Coturnix japonica: one gene and its partners. The protein of the gene in region 2 purifies or fractionates together with the protein of the main gene of each other region. This does not show direct contact. Links are inferred from orthologs where the notes say so. Each region holds a gene or a part of one and is shown on either strand. Other genes may lie near its edges. The genes, in order: CTBP1, zinc finger E-box-binding homeobox 1 and SIRT1.

Evidence for each region.
Region 1: the proteins of zinc finger E-box-binding homeobox 1 (region 2) and CTBP1 purify together in Homo sapiens (affinity purification with mass spectrometry; 9 studies listed by BioGRID and IntAct, counting the BioPlex papers as one, with this or other methods). This does not show direct contact. The link is inferred for Coturnix japonica from reciprocal best matches to the Homo sapiens genes ZEB1 and CTBP1.
Region 3: the proteins of zinc finger E-box-binding homeobox 1 (region 2) and SIRT1 purify together in Homo sapiens (affinity purification with western blotting; 4 studies listed by BioGRID, with this or other methods). This does not show direct contact. The link is inferred for Coturnix japonica from reciprocal best matches to the Homo sapiens genes ZEB1 and SIRT1.

What each region holds. Positions count from the first base shown.
Region 1 is NC_029519.1:76,688,173-76,700,208, reverse strand, and holds the start of CTBP1 (C-terminal-binding protein 1), read right to left. Parts: upstream 7,446-12,036; 5' UTR 7,338-7,445; coding exon 7,280-7,337; intron 1-7,279. UniProt on the Homo sapiens protein: Corepressor targeting diverse transcription regulators such as GLIS2 or BCL6. Has dehydrogenase activity. Involved in controlling the equilibrium between tubular and stacked structures in the Golgi complex.
Region 2 is NC_029517.1:13,024,758-13,034,254, reverse strand, and holds part of zinc finger E-box-binding homeobox 1, read left to right. Parts: intron 1-1,655; coding exon 1,656-1,856; intron 1,857-5,290; coding exon 5,291-5,350; intron 5,351-5,997; coding exon 5,998-6,159; intron 6,160-8,893; coding exon 8,894-9,096; intron 9,097-9,497. UniProt on the Homo sapiens protein: Acts as a transcriptional repressor. Inhibits interleukin-2 (IL-2) gene expression. Enhances or represses the promoter activity of the ATP1A1 gene depending on the quantity of cDNA and on the cell type.
Region 3 is NC_029521.1:8,459,807-8,471,161, forward strand, and holds the end of SIRT1 (NAD-dependent protein deacetylase sirtuin-1), read left to right. Parts: intron 1-629; coding exon 630-709; intron 710-4,915; coding exon 4,916-5,102; intron 5,103-6,315; coding exon 6,316-6,876; intron 6,877-8,128; coding exon 8,129-8,448; 3' UTR 8,449-10,219; downstream 10,220-11,355. UniProt on the Homo sapiens protein: NAD-dependent protein deacetylase that links transcriptional regulation directly to intracellular energetics and participates in the coordination of several separated cellular functions such as cell cycle, response to DNA damage, metabolism, apoptosis and autophagy.

The DNA of each region.
Region 1 (12,036 bases), on a different chromosome or scaffold from region 2:
GAGCTGAACACGTCTGCTTTAATTAGATGACTATTTAAATTTTTCAACATGTTTACCAGACATTTAATCTTTGCGCAGCTCTCTCTCATTCAGTTTTCCAAAGCAGGGTGTAAAGCTGTGTATAAACCTAAGGCTTTTAAAGCATCTTCCCTGACCCCGGGCTGCAGTAAGTACATATTACCATCAAGTACTTTGATTTCTAAAGCTTTGGAAAGTTCTACCAGGCACTCATGTGCACTGCATACAAGCTAAATATCTAGTCCTAAAGGTCTTTTTTAATTCTCTGAGGAGTATTTAGGTTTAGACAACTAGGTGTGGCTAAACAGTAGGTTCTAATTCAAACACATATGATATTAAAAATATAACAATTACAACCCTGTAAGCCCAGCTGTGAGTTTCAAGCTGAGTTGTGTTTACCATACTTGAACAGTATCAGTTTTGTTGTTTATGTGTTTAAATATACTTAAATGTTTAAGTAATGCTATTTTGACAGAAGGGGGCCTAAAGGAAAGCTGGGGAGAGACTTTTTATAAGGGCAGGAAGCAACAGGACAAGGGGAGATGGTTTTAAATTGGAAGAGGGTAGGTTTAGACTCGATATTAGGAAGAAATGCTTTACTGTGAAGGTGGTGAGACACTGGAACAGGTTGCACAGAGGCTTTGGATGCCCTCTCCATGGAGGCACTCAAGGCCAGGCTGGATGAGGCTGTGAGCAACCAAGTCTAGTGGAAGGTGTCCCTTCCTATAGCAGGGGGTTGGCATTAGATGGTCTTAAAGGTCCCTTCCAACCCAAACCATTTGGTGATTCTATGACTTGATCACAACTGTTAAGAAGTGCTCTGTTTGCATCATAACTGTACTTTGCCATAACAAGTAGTACTTTTTTTTCAATACACCAATGAAAATATAACTCTACAGGTGAAATATGTAATGCTGGGCACAGCAAAAACACGGCTTTTCTTTAAAAAGCATCAAAATTTAAGATCAGTGACATTATTGTTTCAGTAAAATTAAAAAGCTTCCTCTAAAATTCCCCTCTCTCCCTCCCCTCCACCCGAATTTTCTTGTTAAGATAATGCTTTTCATTAGCAGCTACTGTTCAGCATCATTTAGGGCAGAATGGGCTTTTAAGCTAATTTCTTTCCATACAATTTGCACTGTTACCAGTAACACCTCTGTAGTATTGCAAAAGCTTAAGTGCATGCAAATTCAAAAACTGTTTTGGTAGCACATAATGAAGACTGAATTTCAAAGACAAGTTGCAGCAGCAATCCAAAAGAACTCCAACACCTTCCCAAGGAGATATTGAGGATTAAGAATAAAGTATAAAAGGGAAAGTGAACTTGCCCATAAGCAGTTCAACTCTAGTTGTCCCAACAGAAAGGATGGGTTTGCATTGGGGTGAACAAACCCCAAATACACAGATATACAAACAGTCACAGACAAGCTTCTTATATGGCTTATATGACTATTCATGATAGCAACTTTTTCAGTTCATTGATTTCTCTTAGTCCATAGAACTCCATGCTGCTCCTTGAAGACAACGCTCATGTAACAGGTTAAACACTTTACCTCTCTATTTCAAGCTCACAGAAGTATTCTCAAAGTTCTTGCACGCAGAACACATGAAAACAGATGAATTGCTATGAAGACCCTTTAGTGAAGAACAAGAACAAATACATTTTTACTTCAAGACACTGAAATCTGAAAGTAATGGGTTATTCACGGAATATTCTGCTTGTGTTATTCATAGACAACTCTGCTCGCTTACACACCTTCATCAGTTACAGCTGAGAGATTTCATGGCTGGTCCCACAGAGAGGTTTTGCTGGCTGATACTACCTGATTCCTCATTTAATTTCTACCGGATTGCTTAGGAAATAGGGAATTCTCTCCAGTTCAGAGTCCTTATTTATTTGCTAAAGGCACTTTGGGCTTGAAAAACACATTTTTGGTGAAGGTTAATTGGTACTTCGTGACAGAGCAGCTTTCACTGAGGAAACAACAAACAATAAAATATTAGGAATCTTTTAGCTCCCTCTGCTGCCCTAATCCTTCAGTGAGCTTTCTTCTCAAGTCTGTGAAAAAAGACAAGCAGCAAAGCAGCCCATCGTTGTTCTTTCAAGCAACACACGGGATGTTCAGCATGCCCAGCACTATGAACACAATGCCTAAAGAAAAGCATATAAAGTGCTGTGTGACATACGATTGTCCGCAGTTGTATGATGTCCCTTTGTTCTCTAATACCTGCAGGAAGTCAGCTACGAACATCTTCAAATCTAAACACCAGTTAAGATTTATAGCTAGTTTTCCAAAGAAAATAACACCTGCAATATCCACTTACATAAGGAAGTGCTGAAGAGTACTCAACACCTGAGAACATTTATTCCACTTCTCTTTGCAGATTAAGATATGCAGTACAAACCATCTTCAGCAAAATTCCTTTCCCTAACAGGAGAAGCCAAGCAATGGCCAGGCAGGCTGCTGCTCTCATTAATACCCTGAAAACTGCCCAGTTTCACAGCTGCAATGAGCAAAGTCACAGCTCAGGTACACCAGATGGGCTCCAGCAGTGGTCATGGAGTACAGTCATTATATTATGGAGTACATACATTGTCAACCTGCTGCTTTCACGTGGTAAGAAGTTGGGCTCTCTGCTACAAGCACAAGAAAGACCTGGATCCAGAATGCAGCTTTCAAACTTTTGGCCACTCTGTATTTCAAGACCTGCTCATAAATGTAGAACGAAAACCTGGTTCTGCTCACACCTGGAGTCACCAACACACCACATCAACTATGAAGATGCATCCTATTAGATCTCATATTATACAGCACCACAAACAGGAAGAGGAGCTTTAAGAACACCTGTTTTCTGATGGAAACAGAAAACCTTGTCTGTATCCTTGAAAAGAAACTACTCCTTTATCATGTACATTTCTGTCCTTTAAAGAGCACAATGTTCAGTTACTCACCAGTAATCAGACTTCCCTGAATAAAGGCTGTCCTTCGTAAAAGCAAAAGATGAGAGATTTTATCTGAACTTTCTGAAACACGTGCCATTAATATGCATTTTCTTTTTCAATTCAGGAACCCCGTTCAACTCTTCCTCTTTCCTTAAGTAATAAAGCCACGCTGTTAAAACCACTATAACACATTCCAAGCTTTATTCTGGGCACTTAAAGGAAGAGGCAACCTGTGCAGAAAGAATGACATTAAGCTGTATACCAATGCTTCAGAAAGAGGAAAAGGGATTGTAAGGATTGCTGAGAAGCTTTGGGTGTGCAAGGATGTCTTTTTTACTTCCAAAAGCTGAACTAGAAAACCACGTCACGTCTGTCAGGGGTGATGCAGGGTCTTCACTGACCTGTTGGACATGCACCGTTGGTATTTTCTCTGTGTACCAGGTGCCTGCAAATCATTTTTTCTTTGTTTCAAGCTATCAAACCAGAAAAATCAATCTCACAATTTGTTCACAGAGAATCCAGATGTAGCAGAACTGTCCTCATGCTGTAGCCGCCTTCCATTGCCTTCCTACCTCATCTGTTAGCTCCTAGCAAACCACCAGGTCACACATCCCCAAGGTAACTTCCAAGCAATGGTCAGTAAAACATGCACACACTTAATTAAAGATTTCTAGAATATAAGCAAACATGCAGCACTGTTTACAGATCTGTTACAATGTGAAGTGCAATGATACCTTAATTAGAGATAACAACATTTCCAAATGCCAAAAACATTTAGATTTTTTCAGATTACTCAGAAAATGAACACATTTTATTTTTGCACTGTGACACTTCCAACTGTTCTGCCAAATGTATACTGCTATAATTATGCTTTGCAATCATCAGCTTCACTGGAGAGGGGGACAAAGAACAATATAATCAGTAACTAATAACTATATATAATCAGTAACTAATAACTAACATCTTTCACGTGCCTCGTTACTATTTTTCTACAAGAGAAGAAGCCTAAAAGCTACTTTATCGACTGTGAACAAGTCTAACATTAGCATCTCAGTCTGCCCAGGACCATGCTGTTATGCCAAGGCAGACTTCATGGCTACCAGTGGAAGCTGAAAACCACAGTTTCATATCTGGCTTCTTCAAGGGACAGTCCAGCTGCCTTTACTTAAGTCAAAGCTGGTTTATAGAACTGTGTAAAGGAGACAACACATGCAAGAACATGGCACACCATTCGAATAAGCAGGGGAAAAAAAAATAACCCTGAAAATAGCTTCAGGATGAAAGGCAAATATTCAATTTCATATTTAAGAAACCACTGAAGGGAATCATAGGTACCTCAGAGACAAAAATTACTTACACAACTACATTAAAAGAGAACTAATTGCTCCCCAAGTAATAGAGTCAGATTTTTTCTCCGCTGAGTATTAAGTGAAATTTAGTAGTAGCGCTCCCATGCCGTCATTAACTTGGGAGAACAGTAAATCCGATGCTGCCTGTTCAATTGGTTGCTTAATTTGCATGATTCGTTACTGTAAGCGAGTGTGCAAATTGCTAAAAGCCATTGGAAAACAGTTCAACTCACAGAGCACTTAAAGTGCACAGCCCTGTAACTTCCAGGAGCGCTTGTGGCGATCCATTAACTGCACAGAACAAGCTGTGTGCAGCCCTGTGCACATGTTCACTGCACCAACATCTCATTTGGGGAATCAGTCCCACACCATTCAATTTTTAGCAACTGAATTTCAACTCGCTATCACCTCCTTTGAGCAGTGAGACAAACAGTAATGAAATGTGGTGCGTCACAAAACCGCTGGCATCTCTTTATAGATGCAATAACGCACAAACGCCTGCTCATCACAAGTTTTTATGTTAAACAATTTAAAAATATACATATAAACAGCAGCAGTAATTAGCAAACCACCGCTACCTGCTTTTAGTGAGCTTGCAATAAAATCCATCTTAAAAATAATTCTTTTTTTCTGAGCCAAAAGGTTGAGAGAAAAGAAAGCTTTACGGGGACTGTTGAACAAAAAAAAAGCTGACAGAGAAGATAAGCCACCTTTAATAGCTGTACAGCTCATTAAGTTTCCTGAGCTTTAAAAGAAACATTATGCATCCTCCTAAAATATAAAATACTTAGGCTGTGTTATGGGAAATACGTGCCGAGAACTCCTTGATTCTTAAACCTGAACAGGACCACATAGAGAGAACAGCTTTTCTAAAAACAAACCTGCCCCCTCATTTTTATCCTACATTACACACTGGCACGGATCTAACAACATCAGCCAGAGATGTTTACAAACCTCTAAGAACATCAGGAGCAGAATATAGATCTGACGTTTTACACAGTCAAACTGAATTCCTGTACCCAGAAAACCTTAAGCATTTTTCCATATCCATTTTTTCTTCCCCTCTTCTCTTGTTTACCCTCTTCCTCATCTTCCCACTCCCACAACACAGCATTTATCCAGCATATGGTAAAGGGGATTAGGAAGTCAAAGTGGCTAAAAAACTTCATTCCTGCTGTATTTTTCAACTGCATCAATTCCCAGCAGCGCATGGCCACACAGATAGATTTTAGGATGCAGTGAATTGTGTAAGGCTGGGAAAACAAGCCACACAAATGGCTGTGATTAAACAGTGTCACAACATGTGAACACACAGCCTGAGGGAAGCCGCTGCTGTTTTATACAGTCACAGAACCTAACGGTCTGCCACCTCCACCCCGACTGCATTCTTTGCCACATCATCACAACTAATTTCTCTTACGTCATCCAACTGACAAATATAGTGACCCTAAGAGAATGGTGGAGTTCAGTTCAGCTGTGGGTGCCCTCAGAAGGGACAGGTTTCTCTGTCCTCTCTCATTTCCGTCTCCTCATGCTTTGCTAATTCAGCTCACACTAAAATAGGCAAAAATAAAATAAATATATACCTTTAAGTTTTCTGGTAAGGTCAGACACAGAGACTCTAGAATGAGGACCTAGGACCAAAGGATGAACAGCACAAAGCACTGTGGCATCTCACCCATAGGTCACTTCCATCTGATCCTACAACAGAGTTGTCCAGAGGAAGGGACATCCTTCCCAATTTCCCACCCTCAACAGCCAGCTCCCCAGTTCTTGGTGAGCAGATAAAGCTGACACCTTGGCCAATCAGTCAACTAGTGACATGAGACCAATTTGGATCAAGTATTCAGGGTGAACTAAGCTACTTTTTGTTGAGATTACATCACTTACGAAATTGTACCCTCTGGTACTCTGATGAAATGCCTTTCTCTGGCTTTGTCATAAGGAACTGTCCATGTGCCCCTCATTCCTCCTTTCCAACTGCTATTTCAATGCAACTCGTGAGTCAGCTGTGACCTAGACTGAGGAATTCACCTACATAAAAAAATTCTCAAACAAAATATTGTATTTTTAGTATTGGTCCTCTTCCACTTTGGTTCATTATATGGGTACACTCATATTGTAACAAAGAAAGGGGAAAAGAGGAGGATACAACAAAGCTACCAGTGACTGCTGACGACCAACACAGCTGCTTCAAATGCAGTTTACTGCTTCAGTATTAGGCATGATGCAAAAACTACTCATCCAACAGTCTGTACACTTACTCCAGTCATACCAGAACGGGTTTGGTAAAGAAGTTAACAGATCCCTTCTAAGAAGAAACAAGCATCTAGTATTAAAAAAACATCATTAAGCCTCAACCACTTGTGCATTCATCAAAATACAACTTATCCCTCAGCCTGTTTTCACATCAAATCTGAAAGAAAACAAAGAACACCAGGAACATACAATTCACACAACTGTGATTCAAGATTAATTGACTGATGCAAGTGATTCCACTCCTTTCACAAGATCTTGGTATTTTTATTAACGTTCATTAAGTTTGGGGGTCTTCTGGGATTTTTTTCTTTAACTTCTTTCCCATTTCCTCACTAAGACCAGATATGGGCTCTTAAATCAATCTATATGAAGCATATCTGTAGAGAAAGACCCTGGAGAGGATTATGTGGTCTCCTTATCCTTTTGTGGTTGTTATTTTATACAAACCCACAAGCTTTCACAACATCTTGGCAGAACGTTTTAAAATGCTGAGCTGGAAGGAAACGGAACTGGACAACAGTACAGAGTTCCCACACTCTTTGCTTTTATTCATCAAAACCCAACACCTCTGCACAGTTAACAGGATTTCAACAGGAAACACATCTCAATTAAAAAAATACACTGAATGACCAAACGAGCAGAGTTCTGACCTTCAGAAATATTTATAATCCACTAAATGAATGCAACCTTAGAAATTGAAATATCCAACCTTCAAATATGCGATCCAGCCGTTGCCGCTTCACTTTGTGTTTGTCCATTAGAGACATAAGAGGGGAAGCTCAGAGAACGTCTCCGCACAGTTTGATGATGGACTTCAAGTCAGCCACAACTCAGAAACGTTTTCTGCCTTTTATAAACTTGTTTGTTTTTTAAACCTGTGAATAGAAAGACAGATTTCTTAAATATAGTGGGTTTTTTTCCCACCCCTTTCCAGAAGAGTGACCTATGTATACTTAAAAGAATAAGAAAACATTCACAGTTCCTAAATATACTTGGTATCCTGGGATTTCACAATAAGCTTCCCCATAGGAAGGCATCATAACAAAGCAATCAAGGAAATGCTCCTCTCATCCTTAACTCCATGATATTAGAATAAATTAGAGTTTGATACTGGGAAGTTTAGGGTCACGATTCAAGAAACATATAACTGAAGATGTGCATCCCAGTGAGAGCACAGACTGCCAACATCTATATCAAGCAAATGGCATTTAAAACAGCTTCATGCATGACTAGGCAAGCTCTTTGGCAGCACACACAACTAAGCACTTTTCAGATCCTGCGTAGCTGGGCAAGACAGCAGAAGGGTAACACAACACGAAGCCTGCAGGAAGGGGGTGGGGAGAGGAGAAACATCCCGCATCAAAATTCTCACCAAAATGTACACTGTAAATAAAACACACAGGAGCAAGTGAATGGGTAAAGCTATAGAGATCCTTGGAAAAGCATAATAAGAGCAGTGCATTTGTCCCCTGTAAGAACTTAATAGGCTCTGAGAACCAAACACGTATTACAAGCATGGTGCATACAAACACAGGCCAAATAATTCATTTCCCTGTTTCCTTTTATTCCTTCCCAGGAGCTTTCAACATCAGTGGTGAACATTACATGGCTTTGCAAGTGACCAAACCTAGAAATCTGCTTGTTTCTTCCTTGATTTCTTCCTTTTTTTTTTTTTTAATCAAATCAAACAAGTGCACATTTAGTCAACACCTCACAAAGACTCTTGAGGTGAAGTGACAAAAATATTTTGAATATGAAGCACTGCACATTTGCATTAAAACAGCTATCTTCTTCCAGCCGTACTCTGCTTGCTGCTTTTGGATTTTTAAAACAAAGCTCCTCTCCGTGTTTATTTTCACTTGAAGATGAAGGCAATGTGCAATATTCATCATGCTTTTATCGCTTTATTCAACCTCATCCTCCCACCCACTCTCCCTCCACCTTTTCCTTTATCCTCAGATTCAAGAGTTCTAATGTTCTGCACAATGTCTGACTACAGCTGAACATAATCATCGTGACAGCAGAAATTGATGAAGAATGCTGAAGCCAAATTTCTCTTTAAAAATAAAACAAAACACTGCTGTATAGTAAATTTCCTGTTATAGTGCCTCACATTGATTATTCCTGCAAAATACAACATCCTTCAATATTGAACATGGCTTCAAGATTACATGAGCATTACACCAAATCTAACATGCGGTTAAATGCTTTTTAAAATTAGCCATAGCTACCTGCCTTTCCTTCAGTCAATGTGCCAAACTCGTGTCAACCCCAAACTAGCATTTCTTTGCCTGTTACCTTTGTTTTACAACCTACCACCTCCAATAGACACAGAAGAAGGAAAATAAAAGAGGACAAGAAACAAAAACCAGAATACACTGAATGTTTCCAATGCTAATCTAGGTTTAAATTTTTATAGCTAATTTAATTTCCTGTCTTGTAGAAACATATATGCCTTCTGTCCTCCTTGCGCTCAGTTTTGTTTATTCATTCAGCCCAAGATTTTTCCACTGTAGTCATTCTATGTACGAAGTTGGCTGACAGCTGTAAAAAAGCAGCCCATCTGTAACTACTGCCCTACCGCTGGAAGTGTCACCAGCTGCTTTCTATCCATCTACAGTAGCTTCAAAGCGTACCGCATAAATCAAGTAGCTTTGTTTAAAGCCCTGTTTGTTTGGTTTTTATCCACGGCAAGATGTTGTAAGTTTTAAAAAATACGTTTGAGCAAAAATTAAATTAACATATTAACACAGTGTTAAATGTAACCCTCACACAATTTTATTATATTTCGTGTTCTAATCCAAAGAGAAGATGATATGGGAAACATTCCCCAGCAAAACAAAAACATTCTAATTATGGAGCGTTTGTTAACTGCAATTACTAAACCACAACATGAATAACTGTATTTGAAAAATTCACTAAAAATAAAAGCCCATTGCCCAGGGAATTAGAACAAGAAGTATTTAAGAGCACACTTCAATATTTTAACTCAATGAGAATCCAAATGAACTCGGAATATATATTGATATGTACTGCCTAACTGCACGATGAGTAGTGGCTACAAAGCCATCTGAAATATCAGCATACAGAACCTGTTTGTGCAGCACAATTTTAAGATTAAATATATATCATTGAAAAGAATATTATAGCTTTTCTTTCAATTAAACAGATGATCCTAGTCTTTGAAGATATTTTTTAAGAGAAGATGCCTCTGGCAATTATAGCCTGGAGCATTTAGCTCTATCTCAAGAATGGATGAGCTTTACTCTTTGAGATACCACAATAAAAGAGAATCTCCAACATTTTTATAGCAGTGTGAGCAAATCCTACAAGCTGAAATGGGAATGTCAAGTAAGTAAAGCAACGTTGACTTAAGGCAACATTGGTAATGAAGTAAAGGACAAACATAAAGCTGTGAGTAAAAAGATCTGAAAACAAGCCATTCAAGGAGGTCTCTGAAGAAAGATGATGAGAAGCAAGAAAACTACGAAATGTATTTTTAAAGCTAGCCAGTAGGCTACTTACATGCACACTGGTAGGCTGAGATCACAGAATATCCTGAGCTGGTAGACACCTGTAAGGACTATCAAGTCCCACTCTTGGGAAGAGATGGGTTCCAAATTCCTAAGGAACTCTCTCTCATCAAACATCAGAGGTTGCAATGTAGGATAGTTTCCTTGGCTTCACTTTCATGGGAGACTTTTAGGTGAAACAGATAGCCTTTGTACTTAATTAATCTAGGTGGTGGAAGCCTACTAAAAAAAGTGACCTGCATCACACATAATCTGTAAGGAGCCCACCTACAAAAAGACTGTGTATAAGCTATTCTGAGCATGGACTTTGACCCATACAGGTAGGCAAGGCAAAAGACTGACCTGTACCTTTGCCTTACTATCAGCTTCCTTCACACAAAAAGATTTGTAGACTAAACCAAATATGGTGATAAAGTGTAAGAAATCCAAAACAGAAACAAAACTCACAGAACAGACTGATAGATCACTAACACAGTGAGAACAAAGCCATGAAGTTCTATGTTACCCCTGGGAATCTTTATCTTCATTTAATTTAGCCGTTCTAACATACGTTCTTTGGTCTGAAACTACATTAAGTTACTGAATTATTTTCCCTTTCTACTATCAACTTTCAAATGTATAAAAACCTACTGCAAGAAAAGCGGGAAGTTTATTTTCAACATTCCACTGCCATCGGTTTCTTATGACTTCATAAATTAAATAAGTTTCCAAGACAACCCAAGCAGACTAATGCTTTGCTTCTCTTTCTCTCTCATCCAAATCAATAAGAGCTCTATTTTCCATGACACCTAAAAGCCTTCAAATAGCCATTCCGTACAGCCTGGAACTAAGAAGTAAATAATGAAAGTGTTCCTCGCGCTATAAATATTTAGATCATCCCAAATAACTACACATTTTGTAGCAACTGTTTGTTTTGGAGAATAAACAGGTTCCCAAGATAATAAAGACCCATCATAGCTAAGACTTTGTGGCAGAACAGGCAGCTCACAGCACCTTAGGCTGCTCACCATGAAGAAAAACACCTTAGCAGAATGCCAATTTGACAATAGTTTTCTGTTGTTTTCTTTGGTTGCTATTTTTCTTTTTTAAATGATTATTTTATTTATTTGATTTTTTTAGGCGACATCTCGGTCTCACTGAAGGTCCATGGAGTATTTACACCTACGCATGGAACTGAACTTTGAGATTAATACTGAACTCACTTTTTCTTTCCAAAGCTCAGAAGTATTATTCAGCAATACCTACCACTACTAGGTATTATAAATACCAAATTCAAAACCAAGAAAAAAAAGCCCAGAGAAACCTCAAATAGAAAGAAAAAGAAAGAAAAAGAGGTCACGCACATTTCTTCCAAATGTGGCAATTCTAAGACTGCTGCATCATCACTGGATATCCTGTCCAGAATGCTGTGGGACAGCGGGCCCTGCTGCTGTACCGCTATGGAGATGCCATGAATTCCACTGAGCACTACTGCAGTATCAAACCATCACAGCATTTACACTGTCCTGAAAACTACTCTTACAAAGGTCTAAGCTACGTTTAAAAAATAAGCATGGCCCAATGAACGCAACAAGAAGATTCACTGCCAGAAGAGAAAGCATTAAATCAGACTTCCTGTGCAAAAATGGAAGCTATTCCATCTAGTCACACAAAATTGAGTATTTTTTGACTGTCAGACAATTTATCTTGCCGCTAAGTGTGGCAAAGGCACTTTGCCTTACCATTAGATGTCAGTACAATCTAAGAGAAACCATACAGAGTGCTTCAAGATCAATGAAATTGTCACATGAGGGAGGAGGTCACTGAAGGAGATGCCAAGAAATGTTGGACACTACTCAGAAATAGCTGATAATCTCAAACATTATTATGCTGCTGCCTAAATCTCAGATACCTTTATCTCAAAAAAAGATGGAGAACTTGAAGAAATGCCAGT
Region 2 (9,497 bases):
AACGGAAACACCATCACCCAGCTACGGCAAAATTAATTAAAGGCTTTAAAGCATTTATGCTGAATGCCTCGGAGGAAAGCACCAAGTGTATAATGAGGACTCTAATTCTGGCATGCTTCCTGTAAAGGAGGCCTTGGGAACACCACTGGCTGGCGGGACTAAAAAGAACATGTAGGGTTGTTGCGATTTGAGACGAGGAGTCCGGATCCTACCAGTGCTGGGCTGCAGAGTCACAGTGTGCCCTCAGTGTGATTAGTGTTTCATCTTCCCTGCAAAGCACTTTAAACCTGATATAAGGAGTTCTACTTCATTTCCCAAACCAAACAGGGAAATCTAAAAATAATAATTCAAGAATTAGTTATCTGCGTAACTGAAATACCGTGTGTGTGAATTTTGATCTCAACTGTTATTTATCTTCTTGGCCTGTGGCAAAAGTCTGTATGTCAGGGTTTTATATGCACAGTCCTCTACGTGTGTCACTGCCAATAGGGCAAAAAGATTTTCCTGTGTCCTCCTTGTGTTTTTGGTCTGTTCTTGACCTTTTTAAAACTTACATTTAACAATTTTCAGGCAGAGAAATTCATAAATCTCTTCTGCTGCGGTGAGGTTATCTATGCATGTCTTACCTTTCACACTGTGTTACCTCAGCACCTATTTTACTTTGCAGAATCTGATGCAGAATATTAAGTGAGAATCAATTTATTGATAGAAATGGGTCAAATACTAGTATTTAGGCAATTTTATCTGCATTTGTTGCTTTAGAATAGCTTGGTACCATGAATTACGGCACATACAACATTTTTCAAATAACGCTACATGTATAAAATATGGAAACATGATTATTTTAGATTCAAAAGGCTCTTTAGTCATGCTTATGCATATTTGAGATGGGACATTTTTCTCCCAAATGAGAAGGAAATGAGATAGCAGCTTTCCCATTCATAATGTTACTCACTTTCCCTGCTTAAATGCATTTTTAAATGACTAGAGTATCTATGAAAGAAGAAAAAAAGAAAGAAGAATAACTTCAGAAGAGCTGGAGTTGAGTCTCCTATTTATCTACATTGATGAACTGGGTTCACATCAGACACTGAGTCTGTATGGTGTGCTGACAGTGCCTGTAGGCAGGGGTTGCAGAGTCCTATTCCCTTTTTATGGCAAAGAGATGGAAATGTTTCCTAAGTCACCACAGAGATTTTCACGTTCATGTCTGTACTGCTGAGCCTCCAGTGTGCTCTGGGTGTATCTGCAAGAGCACTTTAGCAGGAGCACTTTAGCACTTCTGAGTGCTGCCTCCTTGTTGTACCCATTTAGTGCTCCTACCAAGTATTTCATAGTGTGGACTATAATGTTCTTAAAGGAAATGTACAGCACTTCTGTCATCCAAATTGGAACGACATGGTGCAACCTCATGCTGGGCCATGTGTGCAGTGGTCTCCTGGTTCTGGGCCGCCTGCAGGTGCCTTCTTATGTGCCGCCATTGTGTCCAGGTTGCTCTCAAGATGCTGCCGTCCACAGAAGGAAAAAAGAATTAATGATATGACTCCATAGAGATGCCCTAAACATAGCATCTGGCTACAGTACCGAAAGCTTTGGAGTTTTCTGCAGAAAATTAAGAGTATATTGATCAGTGTTTGCTTTTTGTCTGCCCACAGTCACCAATTACAATAACGTGATAGAAGCAAACTCAGATTCAGATGACGAAGATAAATTGCATATCGTAGAAGAAGAAAGTATAACTGATGCAGCAGACTGTGATGCAAGTGTGCCAGAAGATGACCTGCCAACAGACCACACAGTGTTACCAGAAAACAGTGAAAGGGAAGGGAGCACAAACAGCTGCTGGGAAGATGAAGGTATGTTCATTTTCAGTATGATTCTCTGTAATGTTTCTAAGAAGACTTTAGATAGAGGTTTTTGGTTACTTTGTTACTGGAATTATTAAAAGCAATAACATGTAGATATTGTGTTACACTTTATTTTCTTAGTTAAGTATTTGAGGTACAGCCCTGTGTGTACCTCAATTCCAGCCACCATTCTTTAGCATCCACTTTGCTGAAACCTGTGACTTAATAATTGTGTGACCTCACATCTAAATGAACTGAAGCACTCATATGGCCACTAAATGTGGTCCAGCTTTTATGTAGCTGCCCATGCCAAGGTGTGCTCTGAAATGTGGAACTCAAAGTTAAACTATTAGGTAGATAATTTTCTTAGTTCAGCAAAATCTTTGTTCTCCTCCAGTGTTTTATACACCGTGAGTTGCAGTTACATAAAAATGGGCTGCATGGAGACTATTTCTTGACCCAGCCAAACACAGGTGTAGGAAGCCTGGGTGTGGATTGAGACTGGGCTCAGATATGGACTGAACATTTCTTGGGGCTGCAGCTGCAGGTAGTTACACCCAATATGTTACCTAAGGTTGCCTCTGGGGAGTCTCATATATCTAGATATGTAATTGTATCTTTTTGGACTTCCTATTTCAAATGTGCCATTTTAATTAAGAATTGTTGACTCAAATGAAGCATTTGAACCAAACTATTGTAATTGTGTATGGTATTCTCTGCCTTGGTCATTGGTTACTCAGCCAGGCAGATTGTCTTACAGGCTTACTAAAATTACTGTAAATTTCTTATGTAAAAATTACAAATTCTGAAGCCTCTTTTGTAGCAGCCAGGAGGATTTTTTTATCTGATAGTAAGGTTTTTTAAAATAGATTGTTTGAACTTTTGTTAAAGGCTGTGTGAGAAAAAATGAAGGCTAAATTATGTTTCATGGAGCTTTGATTTGCCATGGTAAAACTCTATTTACTTTTTTATGGCTTTCATAGAAAGAAAGGTGCAAGCTGAAAATCACATCATCAGTCTCGGTTGTACATTAGAAATCCTAAGAGCAGGGTATTGAATACGTGATCTTCATCTCAAAGGGAGCAGTGCTGGAGTAGTCTGTGCAGAGCTGACACTGTCACTGAGAGTGGCAGTTGTCTTTAGAAAACACCATGGCAGTTTTAGTAAGTGGATTTTCATTGCTGGATTAGTGCTGAAGGTTCCTACTTGTAGTTGGACTTGACAGAATGGGTATTTTACACATTTATTCAGTTTGCAAACACAAGAATAGGAACACACGTAACATCTCTTTATCAGATTAGTTTCCTTCCGTTTCCAGTCATTCTAACCGAACTTCTACAAGACCTTCAGAACAGGTGTTTTAAATATAAGGTGTGTATCTCCAGAGGTTTAACTGAAGCAGTCACACCGGTTTGAACAGATGAACCACGTGTATCCGGCACCGCTCGCTGGCGGGGCGCCAGCATTCATGTGTGCACTGATCCTATGATGTCAGCTCTTTTTGCTTCAGGTTAAACTAAAGCCTGTGCTACGAATAAGAAAGGAAATGTCAACCCCTATTGACTTGTTATGTTAATAAACGTTTGAGGGGAGGTTAAATGTTCACAGCATCAGCTTGATCAAGTTTTCTGCTTACAACCAAATTTTCTGTTTTTCTAGTGAGTTATCTTATCCATCTCTGGATCTTTGCATTGACATTGTGGTAGTGTCATGTGTGGTGCCTGTGACCTGGAAATGAGCAGCATTTAGCTCTGCAAGTCCCATGTATCTCTGAGCAGCAGTTCATGAGAAATGGTCAGATGCTGCACAGAGCAGAGCCAAGTAGTGCTGCCATGCTGAGGTGGCTGTGGCAGGGTCAGGCAATTCTCAGTGGCCTTAAAGAAGCCATTTTTTACCTGGTTGTGGTTTCTTAGTGGCTGATGAGATCTAATTTGATGGCTCTACCAGATGCTGTAGAGATGCATAATATGAGTATGGCTGAGTGTCCGTATTCCCACCCAGTGCAAGGAGCTTGCTCAGCCCCTCTGCTGCTTGCCAAGCAGTAGAATGGAACTTGCTGGAGACACTCTAATTTAAGCCGTATGGGTAATAATTTACAGATAGTAGCTCTGTTCCTCATAGCCTATTTCATAATGGGGAAAAATCACAAACCTTTTTAGGAAGAAAAATAGTGTAGTTGGTATCATAAATATTTTTAAGAAATGAAATTTTAGATTTGAATTTTCATTGCCTGCCATTGACTGCCATACATATTCTGAACAAAGCCTCTGGTATCAGGAGCCAAAAATACAATTACTTCACAGTTGGATATTGACTAATATTTTATGTATTGTAGTGAGGTTTTTTTCAGATGCTAATTCAAATCAATGAAAGATTTATGCCTTACAGTTTCCTTTTTTACCTTTTTTTTTGTGACTATCTGCAGATAGAGATTCCCCGCCTCTTCCCTTTTACGTCTGGTGGGTTTTGTCAAGGTAGACCCAACTAAGAGTCTTTTCCTTTAAGGAAGCCATTTGTATCTCAGAAATCAAATTTGCCCTAGGATTTCTCATCTCACACATAAAGGAGAAATTCACTTCTTCTGTATTTAAATGTGGCTCGTTCCGCAGTTGTGACTAGACATGCCCAAAATTTTCCCTGCACTGAATTAGAGTGAAGCAATGTAAACAAAATTACAACAGCTGGCATTTTGGATCCTGCCCGTCATATATTTTGGCATCTTAAGTCACCTTTGCATGTCTTTCTTTGCACTATAGCTCTGAAGCAAGTACCATCTCCAAAATAAAGCAATGACTGTTGACTGCTATGGCATTTCCATACAGTAACATAGTATAGTAGTGAATAATGGAGTGATAAAAATGGTTCTGTTTCACTATACACTCCAATGCCATTCTGTGTTTCTCTGAAGAAAGGGAGAGCAGTGTGCAGCTGTGCAGACAGGACCTGCAGATCATCAGCTGTTTCCAAATACTGCTAAATGAAAGAAACAGAGTAAATTTAATATTTCTATGATACTCTGTTTTCGGGAAATGATGTTCTAGTGTATCAGTTAGCTGCATTTAAATAGCTCATTCTGTGATTGCTGGAGAAACACACTGTCCTGCTCCTTACCTGTCTTTACCTGTCTTCAAATAATGCTTTAATGGCTAACATGTAGTATGGCTTCCTTTGCAAATTTAATTTCTTTCACTGTAAAATATCTCTGTGGTTCCACCAATTACGCTGGAGTAACGTGGAATCCATATTTTTGAAAGTATGTTGTCTTTTAATGCAATTAGAGAAGTGGACAAAAATGCTGTAGAAGTAGCTCCTCAAATACACGACGCTGCTGTGTGTATGCGGTTTTGTTGTGTTTTGTTGTTGTTTGAGGGTGTTGATTTGGGGCTTTTTTCTTATTTTTGGAGTATTTGTTGTTCCTTTTCTGAAATGTAATATTTCTGCAGGAAAAGAAAGAAAGGAAATCCTGGGGCCTGAAGCTCAGTCAGATGAAGTTGGATGTACAGGTATTTGTTTGTCTTGTTTATCTCTGTCTATTCTTATAGCTTGTCTGCCAAAGCTTCAGCAGTGAGAACAAAAGGGGTGTAACACTGATCTTGTTGGCAGAATACAACTACAGGCCAGCAGGTAGTGTTTTAAACTAACAAGGAATACACCAAGGTAAATGCAAGCTGCTACTTACCTCCTTTTCCACTCCTCTGCTTGTACTGATTATACAGAAAACGAAATGAAATGTGGATCTTTGGTATCAGAATCAAACAAGGACAGACTTTTACAAATGCAGGAAGCAAGAGGTTAAGCATCTCTCAAACTAAAAGGCCTAAATTGTGATACGTGCCGCACTGAAGAATTTTAGGGGAAGAAAACATAAGGTGCAAAAATGCATTGAGTTAAAGAGTGCATTTTTACAGAGTTTGTAAAGAATACTTTGTAAAGTGTGCTCTTAGTCTTTTTTTTTTTAATTGTCATTATGCCTGTTTCTGTATTAAAACGTTCCTATACCTTAAAGAGCTTAACCTATGCTAGTATTTGTAAGGAGCTGTGAAATCCTTGGACAGAGGTTGATTTGGAGATGAGAGTTACTGATCCCTTTTCCAATTTTTTTTTTTAAAGTTTTCATTTGACATCTTATATGGTGGTTTTTTGCTCTTAGTAAAAGAAGATGAATGTGATTCCGATGCAGAAAATGAACAGAACCATGACCCTAATGTTGAAGAGTTCCTTCAACAAGAAGATACAGCTGTTATTTACCCTGAAGCACCTGAGGAGGACCAGAGACAAGGCACACCAGAAGCTAGTGGTCAGGATGAGAATGGTAAATATGCCACCAGTTCAGTTCATACAAAATAAATTATGTTATGCACTTGACCCCAAAGCTCTGTTGTGCTTTGAAAGACAACAACACATGATACTTGATTTTGTGATGCAAGGCACACACTATGAGTCAGTTATATGGGTGCCTAAATGGTAGTTGGAAGTAAAATCAAGCTCTCGTAAATCCATTGGGTTATTATCCCAAAAAGACAAGGACAGAGAAAATTGAAACATTACTTATATAATAATATTCATGTTATTTGTGATGGAAGCCCATTGAGAAATACTGCCTTTCCAGTAGACTTCAAAAATGTTGTTTTATATTGGAATAAGAACATTTTTATTTTATTATGAGCTGTTTGTATTCTTAGTGAATTCTTCATGTAACATTTAATTGAAAACAACACCCTATATAAATGGTTTGGAGATGTTCTGATCCAGTTGTTTATTAAAAATGAACGTATTTGAACAAAAACTGTTATTGTGGCTGCATTAGTTCACTGGAGTCTAAGGGAGAGCAGTGAAAGGGTTGTGCTGACAAATTTGTCTCGCTCTCTCAGAATTCTTACATTATTAAATATTTTAGTAATAAAAAAGAAGATATTTAAGAAATAAACACATATAGAAGAATATAGGAATATATTTAAGAAGTAAACCGAGTACCTGCCTATATATTACATAAGTAGGACATGAATTTCCAATATTTTGTGATTTCCTTCACGTGTTTTGTAAATTTCAATTAAGTTATATTCTTAACAGTAGCATTTTAAAGTTTTTTACATTTGAATCTGTAGTTGCAGTGGCACAGCTTGTCAGGTTAGCTTTACAGACTTGCAGTGATTTCCATGTAATCATTAAAAATAAACTTCAGCCTTAATAATTGAAATTGTACCTAACCATGTAGGTTCAGATGGAAGTGCTCTGAAAGTCACAGTGCTGGACAGTGATGCTCAGTGCTTTAATAATTTGGAAGAGAAAATGCCAGAAAAGTGGTGATTTTTGGTAAAGGTAGATTCCTCCAAAGCTGAGGAGGGGCAAGTGAGGTGACAGAGCATCAGAGTATTTAGTACTGGGATCGTGAAACCTGCCATTTCGGCATTTCCTTCAATGGAAACAGAATCTAAGTTATGCTTGTGACATTTCCACTGACTTGTATTTGTGCTGAAATGCAGTATTCCTTATGGCATGTGAATTGAATTGTAGATGTAAAAAATGAACAGAAGGGAAGCATGGAAGCATGCTGTATCCACACACAAGCATGTGTTCATTTTAGTCTTGGAGAGACAGAGACTGAACTGGTTAGAACAGCACAAAAAACAGTGAAGTATGAGTGTTACCAGCTTGCTTCCATAAGGAGGGAAAAAGAAAAGTTGTTATTTTCACATAATAAAGCAAACTGGTCTGACTCTCCACTGTTGTGAAGGCAATAGCATGTTCAATGAAAATGGCAAGAAATTCACACAAATAGGGATTGCTACTGTATAGCGCATATATGCAATCTATGGCAGTAACTGCTGGCAGATGTCATGAAGATAGATAATTCAGAAGTACTTCAGAAACTAACGGTTAATTTCATCAGTGTTAATAATTGCTTATAGTTCAGCAACTTCAAATGACCATCTGTACCCCAGTTTGCACCTCATGATTCAGATCATAAACTAGATATCTGTGCAGATGTTCCACTTTCCTCTCTTGCTGTCATTCAGCACAGTGAATAGATGCTTTGTTGCAAAATTTGCTTCCCATTTCCCTTGAAGCTTGGTCACTGGACCTTACCAGACCTCATAAACAGATAATTTGATCCAATACTGTGAACCTTGCACTTCTATAAGCACTTTTTCCATTAATCTGTAAAGTAAGATGTTTTCTAAATCTCAGAAACAAATCTTTTCTAGCATAGAATAAGTTACTATATATGGGGGAGAACTAAATGCTGATAAGAAAAAATAGAGTTAAAGCTTCATAAATGATGACTTCTCAGGAATATTCCTGTCAAATTAATATTCAGCTTCAATCTGATTTCATTTTTTGCTGGTACAGGAGTAACTTCATAGAAGCCAATAGAATAAATCCCATAGGTTGTATTAGAATCACATTTATGGCATCACATCTGATATCTCTTCTTTCTGTCACTCATCTGCTTCTCCTGCATATAGTATGTCCCACATAGCTGTGCATAACTACGAAGAATATCAGCTGTGTTTCTGTTCTCCTTTCTCTTACAATTCTATGTTAAGAAACAAGAAGATCATTCTCTGCAGCCTAAAAATGTTGCTCATTCCTCATGATCTGGAAATAGGGTGACCATTAAGTGCTGCAGTACTAGATTTATTTTGTGAGCATGATTTTGGGGTTGCCAGTGGTACGGTTAACCAGGACTACAGAGCTTGCTGGGTCTAAAACTACATATTACAGTGGTCAGAGTACTTTCTCATCAGAGACATGTGCAGAGGCTCTGGTGCTGTGTGGGGACAGAGGTGTGGTTCTGGGGAGTGTCTGTGTGCTGACATCCTCCAGCACACGCTGGGACAGCTGCACCCTACCGCAGTCAGTAACATAATACCTAAAGAAAAAATACGAACAGTAATCGTTCCTTTTCTAAACCAGACGGAGCTTCCCAGCAGCTGCACGTTTTCTTACAGTCGTATGTATGAATGTAAACTGTGTCTGTCGATGTTGGTTGAGTTCAGAGTTTACATCTTATTTAAATACACCATATTCTCTCTCCTGCGCAGGAACACCCGATGCGTTTTCCCAGCTGCTTACCTGCCCATACTGCGATAGAGGGTACAAGCGCTTTACCTCTCTGAAGGAACACATTAAATACCGCCATGAAAAAAACGAGGATAACTTCAGTTGCTCCCTTTGCAGTTACACGTTTGCATACAGAACACAGCTGGACCGCCACATGACATCGCACAAGTCGGGACGAGATCAGGTCAGTGGCATTGGCTGGAGGCCCTGCTGTCCTCTGCAGCAATGCCTGGTGTGTGAGTAGAGACATACAGAACATGATGGACATTCGTCTCAGAGTCTGGTGGGCTGAAGTGCCGATCCTTGAGCAATTAAACCTGCTGTTGAAGTCAGAGTTCTTCCATAGCTAACAAAGGGTGATCTGATTTGCTGTACTTCCATTCATCCAGGCAGTTCAGTTGGGTTTGAATTCTAGTTTTCAGAAGTGCTGAAGATATTCTGAACTCATTTTCTGTGGTTCGTTTGTTGACCTGAGGGCATGGTTCTTTGAAATGCCCATGATGAGTTAACCACCCCATTATTACTGAGGTGCCTGAGGTTCCCCGCTCCCTGCTTTTCTGTTTTCTTCTATCCCTAGGATTTCCC
Region 3 (11,355 bases), on a different chromosome or scaffold from region 2:
CCAAAAAGCCACTCTGGTTTGCCACAGTTTCCCATTGTTAACATGTGTTAGCCAGCAGGCGAGGTTTGCTTTCAGACAGGGCTGCAAGAGCACCAGAGAGCAAATTTACACAACCTTGCCAAACAGTGAACATGGTAGCCAAGCTGTATACTAAGTTTGGAGCACTATTCTAATGGGAACAACATAGCTGTAACTGTTGACAGTTTCTGAGAGGAACAGTGCTGTTACTTAGTTGCTTATAATGAAGTCATAGCAAATGCGTTTTCACAGTTACTTTACTCTTTGAAAGGCAGCTGAGATTGGTGTGGGTTCATGTCCTGCTCTGATGAGGCAGGGCTGTCACCACTTCTATTACTCGTATAAAGATGGAAAGGGAAAGTAGGGGAGCCATCCAGCATATTTTGTGCTTTCATATATTCAGTAAATCCTCCTCCTAAAACACTTTCTCCTTGCTAACATCTACAACTACCTTTAGTACTACAGGCATCTCCTCTTCATTTAAAAATAGTTTTTAAGGACTTTAACTGTTTCTTGTTAGCACTGCAATTTAACAGCCTTTGTGTCGTAACATCTTTGGCAAAAAGACCAAATCTGAAAGTCCTCACTTCTACCATATTTTTTCCCCCAAGGTTCATTTGCAACAGCTTCCTGCCTGATCTGTAAATACAAAGTTGATTGTGAAGTTGTTCGAGGAGATATTTTCAATCAGGTAAAAACTCACTTTAAATCACTGCAGCTCTCTGATAATCAGCTTGAAAACAAAGTGAAGCATTGCTTAAAAGATCTGCACTTTTAAAACGTATAAGAGGGAAAAAAGAAAAAAAAAAAGAGCTTTCCTTGTTTCCTATGTACCTATCTATATTTTAGCATTTGCTCTTGTATTTAAAAAATATACTCAGTTATTACACTGTAGCAATTAGGTAATGGGGAAGAAGTAGAACCAAAACTGTTATAGGTTATTTCTAAAGGCAGTTCTGAGAAGAGCAGAAGTTAATGCGGTAAGTAGAAAGTTGGATTTATACCTGCCTTAGGGTAATCTGAGCTCTCAGGCACACTGAGAATGCATTTCTAGCTATTTATAACGTCAGTCGCTCTTAAAGCATTTACCTGCATTCAACATGTTGAAATTGTAGATGATGCATGGAGAAAATGCTAACATAAAGCAGCGTCTGAGCAAGGACAAAGCAAGATGTCTGACTGGCACTTTTAAGAACTGCCAAACTATTTTATGTTCTGAATGCCTCACATCTGGGTGCAAAGTACTTCATGATCAAGCCCAGAGTTAGTTCTGCTCCAGCAGAGTAGAATAAGCTTTGCCTTGGTCAGACCCTCTTTGCTTTTCTTCTCTGTCTTTCGACAGAGACAGTTCTCTGATAAAAAGATTGTCTATATAAATGGAAAGGCACTTTTCTTCGGTATTTGCATGTTTTTCAATAAATACGAGTCCACAGTTGCAGTTTTAAATGAGAAAACATATTTTAAGCATTCTGTCTGAACTGTCTTATGAAAGGCTGTCTCTGGATTCTGTTTGACTTCAAGTTTTATGAAGTGTCAATATCAGAAGACTGATGCTTTGTGGCTTTGTAATGCTGAACACCTGTGAGGTCCGTTTTACTCTACTAATGTTGTTCTTGAGAATTTTACCTTAGAGATGTCTGCAGCTTCTTTATCTCAAAGCCAGTTGGTTGGGATTTGGGCTTTGTTTTTCTTTCCCTTCTGAACAAGTGCTCCTAAGTATGGTGTGTAGTTTTCTGTTTTGATTGTTAGTTTAAGCATTCCTTCTAACAACACTTCAATCAATGCACTTTCATACGTTGAACTGAACTCGTGCCCTAACGGCTCATGGCCAGTAGTGGGAAAATAAAGATGGGAAGAGAAGCTTGTACAACAGTACTTCTGAACAAGGAGGTTTTTTCCTCAAGGAAGAAACATTCAATGCATCAGTCCTAATCTTACAGTACTGTAAAGGCAGCAGCAGCAGTCCTAGATAAACATAATGAGAAGGTGTTAGAAAAGGATGCTCACCTGTATCTAAAGATCCAGGCTCACAGGAAGACTCCACAAAGGAGTGATCTCCACGAAAATCTTCCTCAGTGGCAGTCAGCCCTTAAATGAGGTGTAAGAGAGGTGCAGCCAGGCTCTACCCATTCTAGTCACACAGCTGAATTGCCTTCACCTGTGCTCCTGGGGCTGACCGGGTCCTTTCCCCAGATGCTCAAGTGGTTCAGGCCATGACTCAACAGTTTCAATATGTTAAACAGGTATATTTTTCCAGAACAGACTGTAGTTGTTATACTGAGTTACTGTTACTCCAGAAATTGAACACAGTTATTGTTGTGTGTGTATCTTAATGTATATAATGAGAAATAGCACCATCGGAAAAAGAGTATCCTTAAAAAAAAAAAAATAGTTCAATTTACCATCACTATCTCTGCTTCCCAAATCAGTGCTACGCAGTTGGTTTTTCTGTTGCTTCTCTCGAATGAATTAATTCCTTAGTTATCAAAAGGAACTGGTTTTGTACTTGTGAAACAAAGCACTGCCAATTCCAACAGCTCTTTTCTCTAGAAATAGTTTGGTGAGTTAGTCCCAACAGGACGCTGTTTGTATTCTCTGCTGTCCTCCACTGCTTAGAAGTTCAGTTATATGTGAGCCCAGGTCCTGTTTTCCATAAAAGAAAGATTAGCTTTCCTTTGCTCTGGTCCTTCCTTTGACAGTTTTAAGTGCTTCACAACAAAATAAGTCAATTTAGCATCTTCCTGGCAGGATTTCCTTTCAACATACTGGATATTGATACTTAAAAAAACCCACCAGTTCCTCACCGCTGCTTTTTATTCTTTTTGCCAGTCCCAAGGTAGCACACTGGTCCCTGCAGCACAATTCCATTTCTAGGTTGCTGTACACAGCCATCCTGCTACACAAGATGTGGCAGCATCTATAAATCCCAGAGGAAGAAAACGCACCTAAGTTGAACTGTTTTAGATTACTTTCAAAAACGCCTAATTGTGCCTTTGACTACTTCAAGCAGTTTCAAGAAACAGCAAAGGCATCTCAGATTTAGGATGTAAAGGCCCACAGAAACATGCACCTGTTTGTGGATGTTCTCAAACCAACACAATCTTTACTGATTTTGTTTTTGGTGCATCCACAGCTGATGAGGAATTCCACTTTTCCTTCATTAGACAAATTCAGCAGCAGAGGTGGTGTGGTTGTGGGCTGTGCTGCCCCTGGAGGGAGGGAGGATCCTAGGCAGCTGAGCGGCCAGCTATTGAGCCTTAACTTCTCGGTATCAATTTCAGCTCTTGGAATAGATCTCCCCCTTACTGATGACCTTTCTGAGGATTAGCGGAGGAGCTGGTGAGTAGAGTAGTGCTGAAACCTATTTATGGGCCCCTTTACATTAACTCATGATTTGGGCAGGGACAGCAGTTGCTGTTCACAGATCCAATAAATAACATTATCGGACTTCCTGTGGGAGATGATGGAAACAACTACTATCAGCATCTTTTTAAACTAAATCAGAAGTTAGAGATCTCTTTTTTTCTTCCTAATACAGAGCAAACAATTTTACTTTCCAAATCTGATTTAAAATGCAAACACATTGCTTCCTCCAGCAGAAGTCGCAGGGTAAAAAGCATCAGAGAAGTTCCGGATGTTGGTGTGTTGTTGCTTTCTTTCTAATATGTAAAGATCCAAAGAAAAAAAGTCAAGGGTTTTTTTTTCTTCCCTACTCTGTTTTGGGGGATTATTTAAGATGGTTGAGCTGTTAGTCCTTACCTTGGGTAACACGATGAAGATTTTCTCTGTACCACTTTCTAGTTCTTGTGCTATATTGCTTCTTACACATTGCTACTAGGGAGATTTCTTCAAAGAAAGATTAGATTATTCAAAGACTTGAATTCTGGAAAAGGTTCTTTCACACCACAGAAGCAGCTTTTTACTTGTGATGCTTTCTCAGATGGAAAGCATTGTCTTTGGTCCCACAAAAGTCATAAAAAACCAGCAGTTGTGTGTTTGTTTTTTTCTTTTTTTAAAAAATATTTTCCTATGATAACAGGTTTCATCCATCTCTTTATGTCTTTATAAAGCACTAGTTTGCTTGTAGGACTGTAGCTGTATTTAACTCTTTAGGTCTATTCTGGGGTATTTTACTTTAGAGACTACAGCTGAGAAAATAATTTGCTCAGTAGTAAAGCCCTGTCTGTCTATATTTGCATCGCTCACCTGTTTGCTTTTCTTCTCCTTGAAAAAGTATTAAGTTGAAAGAGGTCAAAAAGGTCAGAAAACCCTGTGGTTTCAAGAGAAAAAGGACTCTGCTTCTCCATGAGCATAACCAGCATCTACTATCGCTCTGCTCTTAGAAGAATTGGGAAATTTTAAAAGGGAGACCACACAAAAGCTCCTCCCCTGTTCTTGTTCTGTGTGCTTTTGCTAGCCACTTGCTACAGCGCCACATTACTTCATGCAACCTCTCTCTTTGGAGAAGAGAAAGCAGAGAGGTAATGCTCTATAACATGCTGTTTGATTAGGAAGGGGTGCATAACAGATTGTATAATGGAAACTGATAGTGAAAGTAAAGCTTTTGTTCTGATTAAACCAATTAATTATCTTCCTTTCCACTAGGAGGTGATTACACATTAGTGCTGAGTATGACACGTAGATTTTGGCTTAGTTGTTTGCTAAGAACAGAGGTGTAGACTTTCTTTGTTTCTCCATTTTGACATAAAAAGACTCCTTCATTCCCAATGTAGTTCTGTGTGCAGAGTAGAGTAAGAAATGCATTCATTCACAGGAAAAAAATAAATGAGGAAATATCACTGAAGCTTCTGTCTTACACCAGAATAAGTCACTGTGCATTGCTAAAATCTGTGGCACCTTAAAAGCCTCAATAGTGATACAAGCTGCTCTATTGCAGGTTGTTCCTAGATGTCCTCGCTGTCCGCCTGATGAGCCACTTGCTATCATGAAGCCTGACATAGTGTTCTTCGGAGAGAATTTACCTGAGCAGTTCCATCGTGCCATGAAGTACGACAAAAATGAAGTCGATCTCCTTATTGTCATTGGGTCTTCACTGAAAGTAAGACCAGTAGCATTGATTCCAAGTAAGTGACTCACATTGGAAATTTCTTCTTTCAAAAAATGGGATGAAATTAAAATTCTCAGTTAAGAGTTCCAGTTCTGAGTGTTTTTTCTACACTTAAGCCAGAGGAGAGATCTCAAAGTAATAAATCTATAAGCCAGAGAACCACTGCGCTAAAAGTTAAATGTCTTTGTTCTGAGACGAATGTATTTCTCTCCCTGTTCATAATATGCTTCTGGAATTGTGAGATTTAGAGAGTAATTGTCTTTTAAAAGATAAATGTAGTGTCAAAAAAAAAAAAAAAGAAAAGAAAAAAGAAAATGGAACAGGTACATCAGGTGTTTAAGCAGTAATTAAAGTCAATGTGCTAAACAATACATAGTAGGCAGTACATAGTGTACAGCCACTTGGGTCCTTACTTCTTAAAGGTGATAAGGAAAACTATCCGTGCTACTACAAAATAAGTCCTTCAGGAGGTCTGAGAAAATATGATTGCAGGTTAATTATTTGCCTATTAAACACACAACTTAACTTGCACTTTTAACACTCAAGCCTGAGAAGGGCCTGCACCAACCATCTGCTGCTCAGTGGGGACAGAGCCACATCCAGCACTTCTGTAGTAACACCCTCTTTTCTTTATACAAGAGGTAGAGCCTTGTGTTCAGGCTGATGGGAAAGTTAGGATCCACAAATCACTGCTCCATCCACAAACTGAATTTCATTAGTTGGTTATCTGAAGAACCAGTCAATACCAGGCTATCAGATTGTGGGGTTTTGGAGCCCCAGATGTGTTAAGCAAACCCTTACATCACAGACTGTACCTGCAGATATTCTGACCTAATTAAGAGAAAGTCAGTTAACAACAGTACCTTCTTTGTGCGCACTGAAGTGCATCAAATGAATGTACAAGATCACTGCAGTCCTTCAAAGAAATTACAGTACTGTAATAATCTTGTAATAACACGTGACCAAACATTGCCGTAGTCAACATTTTTGCGCACGGGTTTCTTAGTGGTGAAATAGAAGAACACCTTATACTGCAAGAAACGGGGAAATCTAGATAGACTACACAGGCACAGCACCTCACACTGCCGCTCAGCTTTGTTACATTCAAGATTTGCTTGTCTTCGGACAGACCTCGAAGACATCTCTGAGAAATGAAGTCTTTTTGGAAGACCTTTGGTAGAAAGTAAAACCAAAATGCCTGTCCTCAAACTGTCTTCTCTGTGTTTTAGGTTCCATCCCTCATGAAGTGCCTCAGATCTTAATTAATAGGGAACCTCTGCCTCATCTACACTTTGACGTGGAGCTTCTTGGAGACTGTGATGTTATTATTAATGAATTATGTCAAAGGTTAGGTAGTGAATATACAAAACTTTGCTACAACTCAGTAAAACTTTCAGAAATAACAGAAAAGCCTCCACGAATGCACAGAGAGCTGGAAATGCACTCAGCTGAGCTGCCGCCTACACCCTTAAACATTTCAGAAGACTCTGGATCACCAGAACAAATGACTCCACCGGATACTTCGGTGGCACCCTCAGAACACGCAGCTGAATGTAAGGTAGAAAACTGTGATCCTGCCTCTGAAACTAAAGGGATCTGCACGGAGGAAAAGCTTCAAGACACACAGGCATCCTCTGAAAACCCTGAAAATACTTCTAGTGAATTAATGAACTCTGAAACAATGAAGGAAAATGGAACCAACAATGGAGAAAGCAAAGACAAAAATGAAATAGTGAAGAAGTGCTGGGCAAACAGAGCTGCAAAAGAACAGATTAGCAAAAGGCTGGATGGTAAGTGTTAACTTACTTCATTCTCTTGCAGATTTTGACTTACGTGTTTATTCTAGACTTCCTTTAAAGCAATAAATAAGTTGCCCTTGAGGGAATCAGTGGGTTTTTTTTGTGGTTATTTCTGCTCAGAAAAGTATCTACTTTTTTTATTGTCAATGCAGAGTTTATTTCTTTCAGAGGAGCTAACAGGAAAACTCTAATTGAGAATTGATTTTATAATCAGTGATTACTGAATGGTTTTAAACTGAGACAGGGGAGGATGTTTTTCACCCAGAGGGTGGTGGTGCACTGGAACAGGTTGCCCAAGGAGGTTGTGGATGCCCCATCCCTGGAGGCATTCAAGGCCAGGCTGGATGTGGCTCTGGGCAGCCTGGTCTGGTGGCTGGAGACCCTGCACACAGCAGGGAGTTGGAACTGGATGATCTTTGTGGTCCTTTTCAACCCAGGCCATTCTGTGATTCTGTGACTACAAACTCCCTAGAAAGATCAGAGTCCAAGAGGCAGAAGCTAAGTATCAAAAATAAACACACCTGTCTTACATTTTCTAATGCGTTTCCAGAAAAACCGTATCAATCTTGGCATTTTAAACACTATGTCCCAACTCTGTTCTGTAGCAGTGAGGGACCAAAGTCACCACAAGATTCAAAAAGCAAATCACACAGCTGGAGCCAGGCACATTCCAAAGGAAACATCAGCCTTTCCAAAGAAGCCCTCCGTTGTGCAGTCTGTTAACTGATGTAACAAGTAATTGAGCTACAAAGTCAGTGAGGATGGAGAACCAAGGATTAAGTTGCAGTTTTCCTAAAGCAAAGTCTGTCTGAATTTTGTCAAGCACTCTGTGTGCTGGGTACCAATTCTATGGTACAACCAGTTGCATTCTAGCTGTGAATACAAGTACCAATAAAAAGCTCTCAAACATTAGTTTAAACACCGCTTTTACATCAAAGGGAGGGAGGAGAGGAAACAGCTTCTCAGAAAAGCACGCATTAAATGCTGTTTCTAACACTGAAGTACAAATTTCTAATGTAATCTTATTTGTCATATTAGCTTAACTTTTGAAAATACACCTACACAGGTATTTTTTAAGCAGAAGTCTGCAAGATCTTGTCTGAATAATTTCAGCTTTTTGTTTCTGCTGGGCAGCCCACTCTAGTTGCCCCTGCTTGAGTAGGGCCATTGGATCAGATGATCTCCAGAGCTCCCTTCCTATCTCAACCGTTCTGTGATACTGACTTGTTAAATTCTGTTTCAGGTACTCAGTATCTATTTTTACCACCCAATCGCTATATTTTCCACGGAGCTGAGGTATACTCAGATTCTGAAGATGATATGATATCTTCCAGCTCCTGTGGGAGCAGTAGCGAAAGCGGCTCGTGTCGCAGTCAGAGCTTAGATGTGGAGGATGAGAGCGAGATCGAAGAGTTTTACAATGGCATAGAGGATGAGGATGCTCCAGAAAGGGAAGAGGATGCTGCATTTGGGGAAGATGGAGTTGAGCAAGATGCAGCTGATGAATCAGCTTACACAAATGAAGCTGCAGGGAACGATCATCCAACAAGCACCAAGTTGTAAAGTGCGATCACTGGTTACAGGAATTTTCCACCAGCATTAGGAGCTTTGGCATGTCAGGATGAATGTTTACGTCTGGATTTAGAGCAAGGAAACCATAAGGATGTGGTGTTTATAAACAACTGAAACAGATTTTCATGCTTAGTTTTTTACCTTTTTCAATAAAATTCTCTTACTGCACACTCAACACTAACTTTTTTTTTTAAGGTACTAGGAATATCTAAGCAATTATTACTATGTTCACTTTTAAGTCATCTGTCCGATCAGGCATCCATGTATATAATACCTATTTTGCATAATAAATTTCAGCTTATATTATTTTTAAACAGTTTTGAAAAAGCCATTGGAATGTTAAACTAATATAAAGGGAACAGCTAATTTAGACCAAAGAATGGTATTATCACAATTCTTGCTTTGTAACAGTTTGGTTTATTTAAAACTTCTGACGCTTCTGCTAAACCTTTCGTTCTCGCATAGCCTATCATTAAACACTGGCATTTTCTAAGACCTACTGTGGCAGCTAATTTTTTTGCTTTAACAGTTAGTTTGTATGTTTGAGACATACTTAAATGTGAGTAGATAGTTAAAAATGGAAACAAGACAGTAAGCACTTGAAAACTCCTGATCTTCGTTAGACTGATAAGAAGTGCTGTGAAAATGCTTCAGTTACTGAGCTTAACACTTCCTGTGGACATGAAGCAGTGTTGACATTGGCTCCTTAGCAATTATAATACTGGAACACCAGTATTTTAAACAAAATGGATTCCCAATGGTAGAAGTTTCTCATGTTGTATACAAAATTCAAATATAGCGCAGCTTGCATTAACAATAGTATTTGATAATTGCCAAGGCTGTAACGTGGAGGCTTGGCTGAGTAAACAATAATGTTCCTACCAGCATGTGGGAAGGCGTGGAAACCAAATCTCTTCCTGTAATACCTACAGAAGTAACAGAATTGGAAGAAACTTGCTCGGAGAGCAACAGGCTCTGCTGCTACTGCTGTGTGAGTGAAATACAGATTAATCGCCTCACCTGGAGACGTGCTGCTTCCAGTGATGTCCCAGATGGGGAACGCGACTTTCCGCCTGTTAGCTCCAACGTGCATCTTAGAATCAAAGCAGCTACTCCAATTACCACATTGCGTATTAAAGTGCTAAGCTGCCTTACAACTGGATGTTGCAAATTTTCAAGTGCGGATTGTTTCCAAGCCTTTAGAATTATTTTGTACAATTGCACAGTGCAGTAGTAAGTGAATCAGCATTTTTTATATAAACCACTTTTTCAACATTGGCCCGAATGAACTCTACGATGTAGATTATTCATATACTTTGCTTTAATATTTATTACATTTTGGAGATGTATAGTAGCTGTTCTTTGAACATAAGATACATCACTTAAGAAATATTTAAGAACAGCTTTCTGTATTCATCTAAAAATGTTGGCATGTTGTCTCATTGTCCAAATTTAATACAGCTCTTATTTGGCTACACTAAAGAATGCAATATGTTTAGTTTTCACTTGCATGTTACAATGTATTAGTTTGTGCTATAGGAGATATTTTAAATTGAAATACTTTGTTTTAAATTATTTTTACAGTGAGGATTGTTTTCTGCTCTTTTATATTGTATATAGTGTCTTTTATGTAATCTACTGGCATATGTTTTGTAGAAGACTGTTTAAAATGACCGGCTATCTTCCTGCAACTTTTGAAATACAAAACCAGTGTTTTATACTCGTACACTCTGTTCTAAAGTCTATTAAAATCATCATTTGATTTTTGGTTTCCGTTAATTTCTAGTTAGCTCCTAAGAACTTAACTAAAGATGCCCTACAAAGCTTTAAGTGAGGTCCTGGGTACTCTACAGTAAATTGCCTTTTATGCCTGCCCCCTGTGGGAGCAAAGCCCCAGTAAAGCTGCACTGGTACAGCAACATCTGGAACCACAACGCAGTTTGTCCTTCAGAAAACTACTTATCTTCTTCCAAGCCCTGTGCTGCATTTAGATGTATTCACTGAGCAGTCCTGCTTGCTCCTACATAGCAAGGGGTTCTGAATTAGCTACAGTAACATCAGAGTCAGAACAGTACCCTTAAAACAGTCACTCTCTAGTTAGTGTTTTTAAGGTGACACTTGAGCTGCTAGGACTTCCCAGGAAAAGTGATGTATAACAGCATACACAATGTTCACTGTTGAGACTCAAGGCCCAAGGAGCAGTGAGGGAACACACGGGAAAGCAGATAAAATAAAGCAAACCACTGCACACACTGAAACTGTGCAACTTACTGCCACAGGACACTGTAGGAGCTATAAGTGCCCTGAAAGAGGAAAGGGAGCAATGCAGGTTGATGGGATGGGGGGGTTCCCAGACAGAGCTCATGTTCCTTGATGCTCTCCCCGAAGCACCCGGACCACTACACATGGAGACAGCTTTCACACCAGGGGAACCCAGCAGCAGCTCCCAGCGCTGCACAGAACCGAGTGCTGACAGCCAGCTCCGCAGGGCACACCCTGAGCACGGCTCTCTCGGCTCCACACCACCACACAGCTTTCAACGACTCAGTTTCTCAGCAGACACAGAGCAGCGCTCTGTGACAACGCACCCTCGGTTCCTTCACTCGCCCAGCGCCGCGCAGCACTAAGTAACGACAAACTGCCCTTAACCCACAACTGAAGAGCTCTGAAACAACACAAAGACAACTCTCGCTGTTGTTTTACCCGTGTCTACCACTCCTAACGCCTGGAGGCAGCAGAGCAGCAAGCACAAACTGCGACGGAAGGAAAGCGGCTCTCCCACACTTGGCGGGCGGCTGAGGTAGAGGCCCCCAGTGACCGACAGCAGCGCTCCACTTACCGCCAACACAGCGGGATCCAGCAGGACGGACAGCCCAGCGCCGAGAGACGAGAAGCGGC